Linked DNA regions of Arabidopsis thaliana. The protein of the gene in region 2 interacts with the protein of the main gene of each other region in a pairwise test. Each region holds a gene or a part of one and is shown on either strand. Other genes may lie near its edges.

Region 1 (4,719 bases), about 18 Mb from region 2:
ATGGTCCTAATGGTTTCTCAAACTATCATCTGCCGGATTATTGGATGAATCAACCTCAACTATACAATCCCACTATATGTCCCCCACCACCACCACCGTATCCACGTCAGGTCCATCCGCAGCCACCAGCACCACCACCGTACAAATTCCATCAGAAAGAACCGGTGGCTAAGAGTTTCCCGCCTACACCAGCTCCGCCTAAAAACTTTACGATGGGAGATTTGCAACTATGCCGGATAATGTGAAAACTTTTAGTGTTGCACGATGTTGTCCTTTTTTCATTCGTTGATGTCTGTTTGTGGATCATGAGAAAGATTTATGTTTATTAAGGATCTTATTATGATTTCAAACAAAATATTCCAAACTGGATATTTGAGATTCTCCTAAAGTAACACACGCAGACTTCTCAGAAAAAGTTTTGTTTTGTTATACAGTCTAGGATTCTTGTTGTATCAGAAGCTTTTAAGTTTGGTCTGAAATAATCCCTGCATCTTCTTCTTCGTCGGATGATCAATTCACGGCGACATCACATGCTAAAGACGATAAAGTATCCGAACCATTGAAAAAGACATAGTCATTCAACGGTATTAGTCTATTAGAGTTCAACCCTTACATTACTTTATAAGTTCCTACTCTCGGTAGAATTCACATACCGAACCCTAACTTGTGAACCAACCATAACAGAAAAAAAAGCCAAACTACATCAGAGACAACTAATGCTGATTACCCTACGAAACCTAAATCAGAGGTAAACCTGAGTAAACCGGAAGAGATAGGTGGTCGGTTTAGTCAGGTACAGAACAAACCGGATCATCCTAAAGCACTATGTTTCAGCTCGTAGTCTTTTACTTTTTCTTCATCTTCCAGAGTTGGTTGGTTGGTTGTTGTTGCGGTTAAGCTACTTGTTTCTTGCCTTTTCCAGATCAGGAAGATCTGACCAAATATAATGTTATTAGTAAGATCAGTACAGACAAGTTCAGATTTATATTTGGCACTAACCAGAACTGAATCACAGAATAGTTTGCTACTAATACTTTGGCCTTTAACACAATAATCCATCAATCTTCACTTAATCTCTACTTGCAGGTATACATAGATATAATATGTGAAATGTACGTAATCATTGCTATAAGAAGATAAAGATTCTTGAAACTTACAGAGCAATCCATCGTCATCGCTGCTTTCACTATCTTGATTAACAAACTATGAAAATAAAGAGGGAAAATAATCAAACAGGGTGGCTTTACTAAACAACAATAGAAAGATATACATTAGGCGATTATGAGAAAACACTTACTGCACTCTCATCATCAGAGGCTGTTTCAGCTGAAACAGAAACGAAAAAGAGTCTAACGTTAGAAACAAATTATCATATAGAGATCAGAATACTTGTGATTTTCCTATGTCTTTTCAAACAAGGTTTACTTAATCAAGCATGTAATATGAGAAGATTTTCGATTATCATCTAGAGATTGAACTGAAAAGAGAACTTTGGCTTGTAACATATATTTTTACGACTTACAGTTGACCTCCTCATCCTCATCACACCATTTATTCCAGTCGACTTTGATGTAAGGTGCAGGTTTCTCTTCCGATTTCAGCAGTCGTGTCCACCAGCTTCTCTCTTCTTTCTGAATTGAAAATATGATGTTCCTTAGTCCTACATTCTTCCGATATTCCTGCATCATACATATTACATAGATTTGTTATAAGAAGTATATGTGGATACTTATCGATTTAGAGATGCAATGGTTACTTTCCACTTGATACTTTACAGTTGCTGCTAGTTCTTATCATTTAAAGGAAGAAATGGTACTTACTGTCATAATCTTCCCATATAACTCCAAGCTGAATTCAAAGCGCTCGCCTTGGGCACCAAGAGCAGAGAAACTGAATAGACCCTGAGGCTCACACTTCACCGAAATGTCCTTCGCATCAGGTAAGGCGACAGTTAGGTAAACTTTATCAGAACGCTGAGCCCAAAGAACCTCCGGATTACGACTGCACACAAGGTGAAACAACAATATAATACGATGTTACTCTACTCAGCGGACTTTGTGCAACATACTACCTCAATCACACAACCGTAACAGAAGATTACGACTAACTTGTTACATCATACGAATATCAATCACAAAGATTCTCAATTTTGAACTTCACAAGTAAAACAAAAGCCAATGCTTATATAGATTGTAAACATGAATGCTGCTGAAGCCAATCATCATCACAAGTAAAGAAAAGTTGTAAGATCTGTGCAAACAAGTCTCTCATCATCACAAAGAACACTACTCTCTATAAGGCTATATAACTAATGAAAACCCCTTTAGTAAAAGAACTTAAAGGTAAGGGCTTTATATAGTCTGGTTAGAGAAAATGTGACGAGGAAGTCAAACTCAGCTCACAAATCACGCAAAACCTTTTTGTGAGTTAAGCAAACATACACACAAATCGAATTCGAGATTATACTTTTTCAAAAAAACCTAGAAATCGAACAGCTACCTCATGTTTTCAGCCAAGTGTAGATTTTGGATAAACGGTGCCGGAATTATGAACGGAGGATGGAGAAAAACGGCGATCGATTTCAAGAGACAAATGTTGAAACCTTTGAAACGATCTGTCTTAGGTAAAAACGATTCTTAGAGTGAAGAAGGTGAATAGAAAATATTTACACATTGGGCCCCAATAGTTTTAGAATATTCCACAAAGACCCATAACTTCACGAGTTTATTAAAAAACCATAAAACTTACACCTATCACACATTCGGCCACAATTAGAGATTTTATTTCACAATTTGGCATTTTGCAATAATAATAATTTAAGCTAGTTACTATAAAGTAAAAACAAGAGCAAAATGGAAAAATAGGGATAAATGAAATGAAAAGACAACATGTGTCATAGTTTGTTACAAATCATAGATCAATGATGACACATCACACATGCTACTTGCATAACACTTACAACTACACAGATAAGTAAAAGAAAAATTGGTCACGAGATGTGTATAAATAAAATTCCTTTACGTTGATTGCATTATATAACACTAAATTTATTCAAACTTGTCTATATGGCATCGTCAAATTTTGACATATTAAGATATTACTATTCTTAATGAATTCTAAAGTCGAATAAAATTAAAGGATTAGTTTGAGGATGCGGTTGATAAATTAGCAAATGATCACTTCACAATTACGACATACCTAACAAAAACCACAATAAATCTTAATGTTGAACAAACCATCTAACCTAATTTATTACACCGCAAGACGAAAATGACACACACACACACACTCCTCTAGGCTCTAACGTACGTCTTAATTAAGTATTTGCTTTCGCTTTCTACAAATCACTTTAATGTAGTGTATATATATTTATGTGATAAAAACAGAATAATGTAACATATGAATGCATGATAGTAATCAAGAAAAAAACATAAAATAGTCGTATAAATGTATTTCTATGAAATAATCTCAAATTACTTCACTTAGCCAATAAATTTTCATAATATATTAATTTTATAGTTGCCAGTCGATCAATTTTCACTACCAGTTAAAATAGTCGTATAAATGTATTTCTAGCCGTTATTAATTTTCTTTTCGTCTACCAAATTAAAGATCAATCTTTTTTTGTTAAGGAAAAAGAAATCGAAATTGGAAATTACCACGTTCTATTTCGTATTGTTTAAAGTTGGCTAGTCGATTATAAGCTGCACCAACAATTTTTAGTTTTATTTAAACTATGATTGTATACGACGACATTGACTATTGAGACATGCAACCAACAGATACAAAACAAAACTAACCAAAAAATGAAACACGCAAAATGAAGGAAAAAAATAAGATAAATTAAAATTAAATATTTATTCCTAAACGATGCACAGAAAAATCTAACAGAAGAAGATGCTTATATAAAACCAGGTGGACTAAAATTTCACAGAATTTTGTTTTCTTATGTTTGTAAGCATTTACTTTACTTGTTTTCTTATACCTGCAACTATGAATCATATTAAAAAAAACTACAAGATTAATAAAAAGATGAATCACTCATGGCACGTGAGAGTAGTCAAGAGATTAAGACATCATGCCTTAGTTTCAATTTAATATGATTAAATACACGAGTTTAGTTTAAATTGTTTGTTAATTTGATTTCCAATTCCTTGCATGTTATTCTTTATTGATCATATTATATGTGAGCTAATTTGTTGTATTAAGATTGTTTTCTTGAACTTTGAAAAGGTCGGAGAAGATTGGGACCTACATGTGTCACTTTAAAAGTCTGGTGTGACCTTTCTGATGGAGATGCCTTCGTGCGAAAGCTTACATTACAGTATGTGTCACAACTTCGCTTTCTTTTTATTTTCACCTTAAATATATATATTACCTCTTTCAGATTTAAGTTTTTGGATGGATCTTTTTTTTTTCTTTCAGTTTGGTTTTAAGCCTAGTTTTTGATAAAATTCCGGTGTAGTTGTTGTGGTTTTTATGTTTAGTTTGTTTTCAGCTTTCTTACATGATCAAAATTCAAAACAAAATTAGAGTTACACTAATTTACTTGGTTTTGTTTACTCATTCTTGATTAATCTTGTTTAACTTAGCATACCCAATTAATTGATAGACAGACTTTTCTCAATCAAATTAATATTCATATAAGAAACTTTAAAAAAATATCAAAATTAAATCTATACTATATAAAGACTTGTTTGCCTCAGACTCGTATTTGTA
Region 2 (4,736 bases):
TGACTTATTGGTGTGAAATTTGTGAGGAAAGATTAAATCCAAAGGAGCGGTTTTATAGTTGTGATGAGTATTGTTGTGTCACCATACACATTGAATGCTTGGTTGGGGTGGACTTCTACATGAAGCCCGGTTCAAAATGGTTCAACAAGTACGGTGCAGAGGTAAGTGTTCTGCCAAACAATCATCATATGTCTCGACCTTTTTGCTTTATTTGCAAGAAGCGTTGTCCACACAAAACATTTTTCCAGTGCAATGGTTTTGAATATTGTTCCAGATCATGTTTACTTACTAAAAGTAAAGAGGTGATCTACCTTGGTGGCCATTAGTCTTCCAAGTTATAAGAACTTTCATTTGTTGTATTGAAAGTAAAACACTGATATGTTTCGATATTGTTGTGATTTATCGTATTTTGCTTTGCATCTGTGTGATTTTTGAACGCTTGTTGTTTTTCATAATTTCATAACTACTGCTGGGGAACAATAAGTATAGATACAAGTTCAGTAAAATATCAATTTGGAAACATAACGTAGATCAAAATGATCAAAGACACATAATTGTGTACAAACAAGGCATGTGTGTGTAATCTGAGCCTCGTTACAAGTTACAACTTAGTCTAGATTCATATTGGTACTGTAAATAATTTTTTAAAGTGTCAAAAATCTCAAAACACAAACTTTTAAGAAACCGGAGGGAGTAATAAGAATTCTCATATTTATAAATCCATAATTTCGACATTATAAAAGAAATCCATATGGATATGAAAATGTATTAGTAAACAACAAAAGAGCACACTGGAGAAGAAGAAGAAACAAAAATCGGCCGAGACATCTCTATTGAGTCCTCATTCTGCTGCTTTCTGCTGCCCTGACTTGAGCGAAATAGGGATGAGCCTGTCATCAATTCATAAAACCATCACAATTTAGCAGACTATGAGAACGAAAACTTGTTTGAGTTACGTTATATGATACTTACCATTGCTTCTTTTGCAGTTAATCTGTCTTGATGATCATACCGGAGCAGCTTGTCCAAATAATCAATCGCCTACATTTAAAACAAAGTTACAGCTCGAGAGAGAAACCATGGCAACAAACAAAAGCGTTTGTGTTTCTTATAGAATACAGAGAACAAAGTAAACAAACCTCAGGTGAGACCAAATGCCTATTGTCAGCGTTGATGAATTTGGACCAAGGCTTCCTGCTATGTCTGTGGAAAGAGGATTGGTCATTGGCACTGCTTTAATCTACTCTTATACTATAGAGAGAATATGTGAGTTCTGCTTACCTCCCAACAAGTGCCTCTAGTTGAGTATCAAGTTCTAACTGATACTTATTCAGATATGCATTCAATTCATCAGTTCCGAGTACCTGAGTCAAGAATCAAACATACACTCTAAAGATGTGAAAAAACACTCAATCCCTCTAAAATTCCCACATTTACCCACGCATTTGATTACCTTGGCAATTTTGACGAGCTGATCCTGGTTGTCATGGCCATAGAAGAAAGGTTCCTTGCGGAATATCTACAAGAAAAGATAATTTAGACACTTCATCATTACGATACTATATTTTGGAAATTTTTTGAAAAGAATGATCATATATAAATGTAGCATTGGAAGCCTAGCATTTCGCAAGGTACTCACCATCCCAGCAAACATGCAACCGAGGCTCCACATGTCCAAGGAATAGTCATAGTCCTGTAAATCAACTAGAAGTTCGGGACCTTTGAAGTATCTGAGACAACATTTGATCAAGCTTAGATACTGATAACGACTAAATATTAAAAATGGATAGGAAACCAACTTATCTTGAAGGCGCCTATCATACATACCTTGAGGCCACACGGACGTTGTACTCTTTTCCAGGATGATAAAACTCAGCGAGACCCCAATCTATTAGGCGAAGTTTGCGCAGCTCATGGTCGATCATGACATTGTGTGGCTTGACATCTCTGTGCATTATTCCTTGTGAGTGGCAGAAGTCCAAAGCCTGCAGCATATCATAGGAAATTTGCAAGGTTATCACTGAACTAAATTTGTTGTGGAACCGAGAAAATTCCACAAATCAGAAGTCGTAATGAAATAATAAACTCTACATAAAATAAATTAAAATTACCTTCAACAGCTCATAGATGTAGTAGCGAATGTCATAATCAGTCAATGTTGGATACAGAACCTTAAAGTCTGTGCTGTTTACATACTCAAATATCAAGCTTGGCGTTTTTGAGTGTTGATCTCTGACAACATCAAGCAGCTTTACAATATTTGGCCCTCCACAAAGATTCTGAAGTATTTTAATCTCCCTTCTAATCTGTAAAAGGATCATACAAATTCAGAAAGGCAACCCAAAATCAAAACTAAGTAAAGACAAAACCTTTTGTAAAAGCAACACCATTCATTGCTATCAATCATAAGTCACCAATTGAAGTAATATAGACACTCACCTTCTTCTTCTTAACAGGCTTGAGAATCTTGATAATACACTTCTCATTGTTATTCATGTTAATCCCCTCAAAAACCTCACTGTATTTCCCTCTCCCCACCTTCCTCACTACCTCGTAATCATCTTGCTCCCTGACAACGAAACCCACATAAAAAAGCTCAAAACTTTAACAAAAGCATCATCACCCATCATGATCATAATCATAATAACCAACAAACTCTCCTCAAAACCAGATTAAAAACCAAGAACATCGCCAGCTAGACAAAAAGCTCAATTTCTACATTACAAGATCCAATTTTTTTAACTGATTAGCTTCCTAGGGTTTTCATAATTTTCGAAAAATACGATCTTACCCCCACTGAACATTGAGAGATTCGTAATCCCAATAATCCTTAGGTCGGATCACGTTAACATCGGTATAAACACGAGCTTTCGACATGACGGTGGAAAGAGAGATCTTGGCGAGAGAATCGGTATCGAGGCAACGATCGAACCTGATACCAGTAACGTCTGATTCAACGGTTCCGGTGTTGACGCACGTTAATGGTGGTATAAGAGAATGCGCCAACGGCGCACGTAAGATCAAGATGGCGCACAATAACAACAGGTACCGTCGAAGAAAGTAGGAGAAGAAGAAGATTAGGTGCATGTAACCATTCGGTGCACTCTCCCGCGGTGGATTATTTCTTTTAGTGGCATACACTGAGTTATGGAAATAAAACAAATATTTAATTTGACTTGTTGCCAAAAACGACGCGTTTTGGCTTGCTTAACACAAAAACGCAGCGTTTTGGTTAAACCCTAAAATGATGCGTTTTGGGTGGCTCTACCCTAAAACTAAAAATCTTCAACAGCGTTTTTGTTCTTCATCTGCATTGTTCTCCGCCTCTCTCTCTCAAACTCTTCAGGTAAGCTTCTTCAATTTCATTAAATTAGTGTTTTTGAATCGTTTCTAGACTTAAAGTTTCTCCCTTTTCGATGTTTTCGTGTTGATTGATGATAAAAATTTACATTTTATTAGTCAGGATTGAAACATAGTCTAGTTGATTGCTGTGACTTAGAAGTTAGACATCTTATATCTTCGTAATTGTTTTACAGTTTGCAAAACCCTTAAGAAGGTGTGAATTAGTAAGTAATGGGGAAGAAGAAGTTTATTGATAAGAAAAAGGCGGCGACTTTCGAGTTGTGTCCTCGTGATACGTCAGACCCAAGATACAGTGATGCACCAGGTGGTGATAAGATCTTCTTACGAGTTGATCAAAACCCTGTTAACATCAATGGTTTCATTGAAGAAGATGAAGAAGAAGAAGGAGACAGCTCACGGTTTGATGATGCTCCTGAAGAGATGGATTATGGTTACTCTAGTTTTGGGGATTCGAGTAGTTCTTTACCTGCTCATGTGAGGAAGGAGATTTTAGAGTTAGGGTATCCTGATGATGGTTATAATTACTTGGAGCATTTGAGAGAGATTAAGAATACTGGTGGTGGTTCTAATTTCTATGTGAATCCTAAGTATGAGGTTGCTCAGTTACCTCGTGATGTTAAGGCTTATGATGCGTCTCGTGTGAAGATCTCTGGTATGGTGAATGAAGAAGGTAATGATAATAAGTTGATGTATAGTGTTGCGTCCAAGACTGTTAACGTCAAGGTGCAGAAAGCTATTGATCCTGAAGTTGCTGCGTTGCTTGAAAACAGTGATGGGTCTGAGTTTGGTTCTGATGTTGAGGATTTGGAAGAAGATTTTGTTGTTCAAGCTAATCTTACTCAAAAGGGTGAATCTTCTGGTGTGAGCAATGGAGAGCTCGAGTTTTCTGTAAGACGTGAGGTTAGAGAAAGAGAAAGTGATGAACCTGTGGCTGAAAACCCGAGAGTTCCTCGTCAAATTGATGAGCTATTTGATCAGCTCGAACTCAATGAATATGGAAGTGATAGTGACGGTGATGGTTACATAGCTGAAGATGGAGAAGAAGAAGAAGAAGAAGACTTCATGGCTCAAGAAGTTCAGAATCTTATTCATGGGAAGGCAAAAGATTATGAGCTTGAAGAAAAATATATGAACCCTGCGGATATACTGAAGAACAGTGACTCTGTCAGAGATAAAGAGGAAGTGGACACTGCTGCTCATGTTATCCGCCGAACTGTAGAATATGGTGAAAATTTTGATAACGGGAATGAAGATGAATTTGTAGAGCTGACTGAAGAAAGCAGCGATGAAAGCGAGAAGCATGATTGTGAAACCATAGTCTCAACATACTCGAATCTCGATAACCTCCCTGGTAAAATCCTTGCTGCAGAGTC

The links.
Region 1: the proteins of CKA2 (region 2) and AT3G03773 interact in a protein complementation assay, tested with the Arabidopsis thaliana proteins (one study listed by BioGRID).

Annotation. Positions count from the first base shown.
Region 1 is NC_003074.8:949,670-954,388, reverse strand, and holds AT3G03773 (HSP20-like chaperones superfamily protein), read right to left. Parts: upstream 2,762-4,719; coding exon 2,749-2,761; intron 2,615-2,748; coding exon 2,500-2,614; intron 2,155-2,499; coding exon 2,116-2,154; intron 2,002-2,115; coding exon 1,821-2,001; intron 1,680-1,820; coding exon 1,523-1,679; coding exon of another isoform or gene 1,512-1,522; exon of another isoform or gene 1,327-1,511; coding exon 1,298-1,326; intron 1,204-1,297; coding exon 1,158-1,203; intron 934-1,157; coding exon 899-933; 3' UTR 549-898; downstream 1-548. Other genes in the region: AT3G03776 (hydroxyproline-rich glycoprotein family protein), read left to right, coding at 1-245.
Region 2 is NC_003074.8:18,532,838-18,537,573, reverse strand, and holds CKA2 (casein kinase II, alpha chain 2), read right to left. Parts: upstream 3,125-4,736; 5' UTR 3,088-3,124; coding exon 2,792-3,087; intron 2,570-2,791; coding exon 2,440-2,569; intron 2,307-2,439; coding exon 2,112-2,306; intron 1,986-2,111; coding exon 1,828-1,985; intron 1,731-1,827; coding exon 1,640-1,730; intron 1,520-1,639; coding exon 1,454-1,519; intron 1,365-1,453; coding exon 1,282-1,364; intron 1,204-1,281; coding exon 1,140-1,203; intron 1,042-1,139; coding exon 973-1,041; intron 891-972; coding exon 831-890; 3' UTR 501-830; downstream 1-500. Other genes in the region: AT3G50010 (Cysteine/Histidine-rich C1 domain family protein), read left to right, coding at 1-326; AT3G49990 (Low temperature viability protein), read left to right, coding at 3,574-4,736. UniProt on the Arabidopsis thaliana protein: Casein kinases are operationally defined by their preferential utilization of acidic proteins such as caseins as substrates. The alpha chain contains the catalytic site.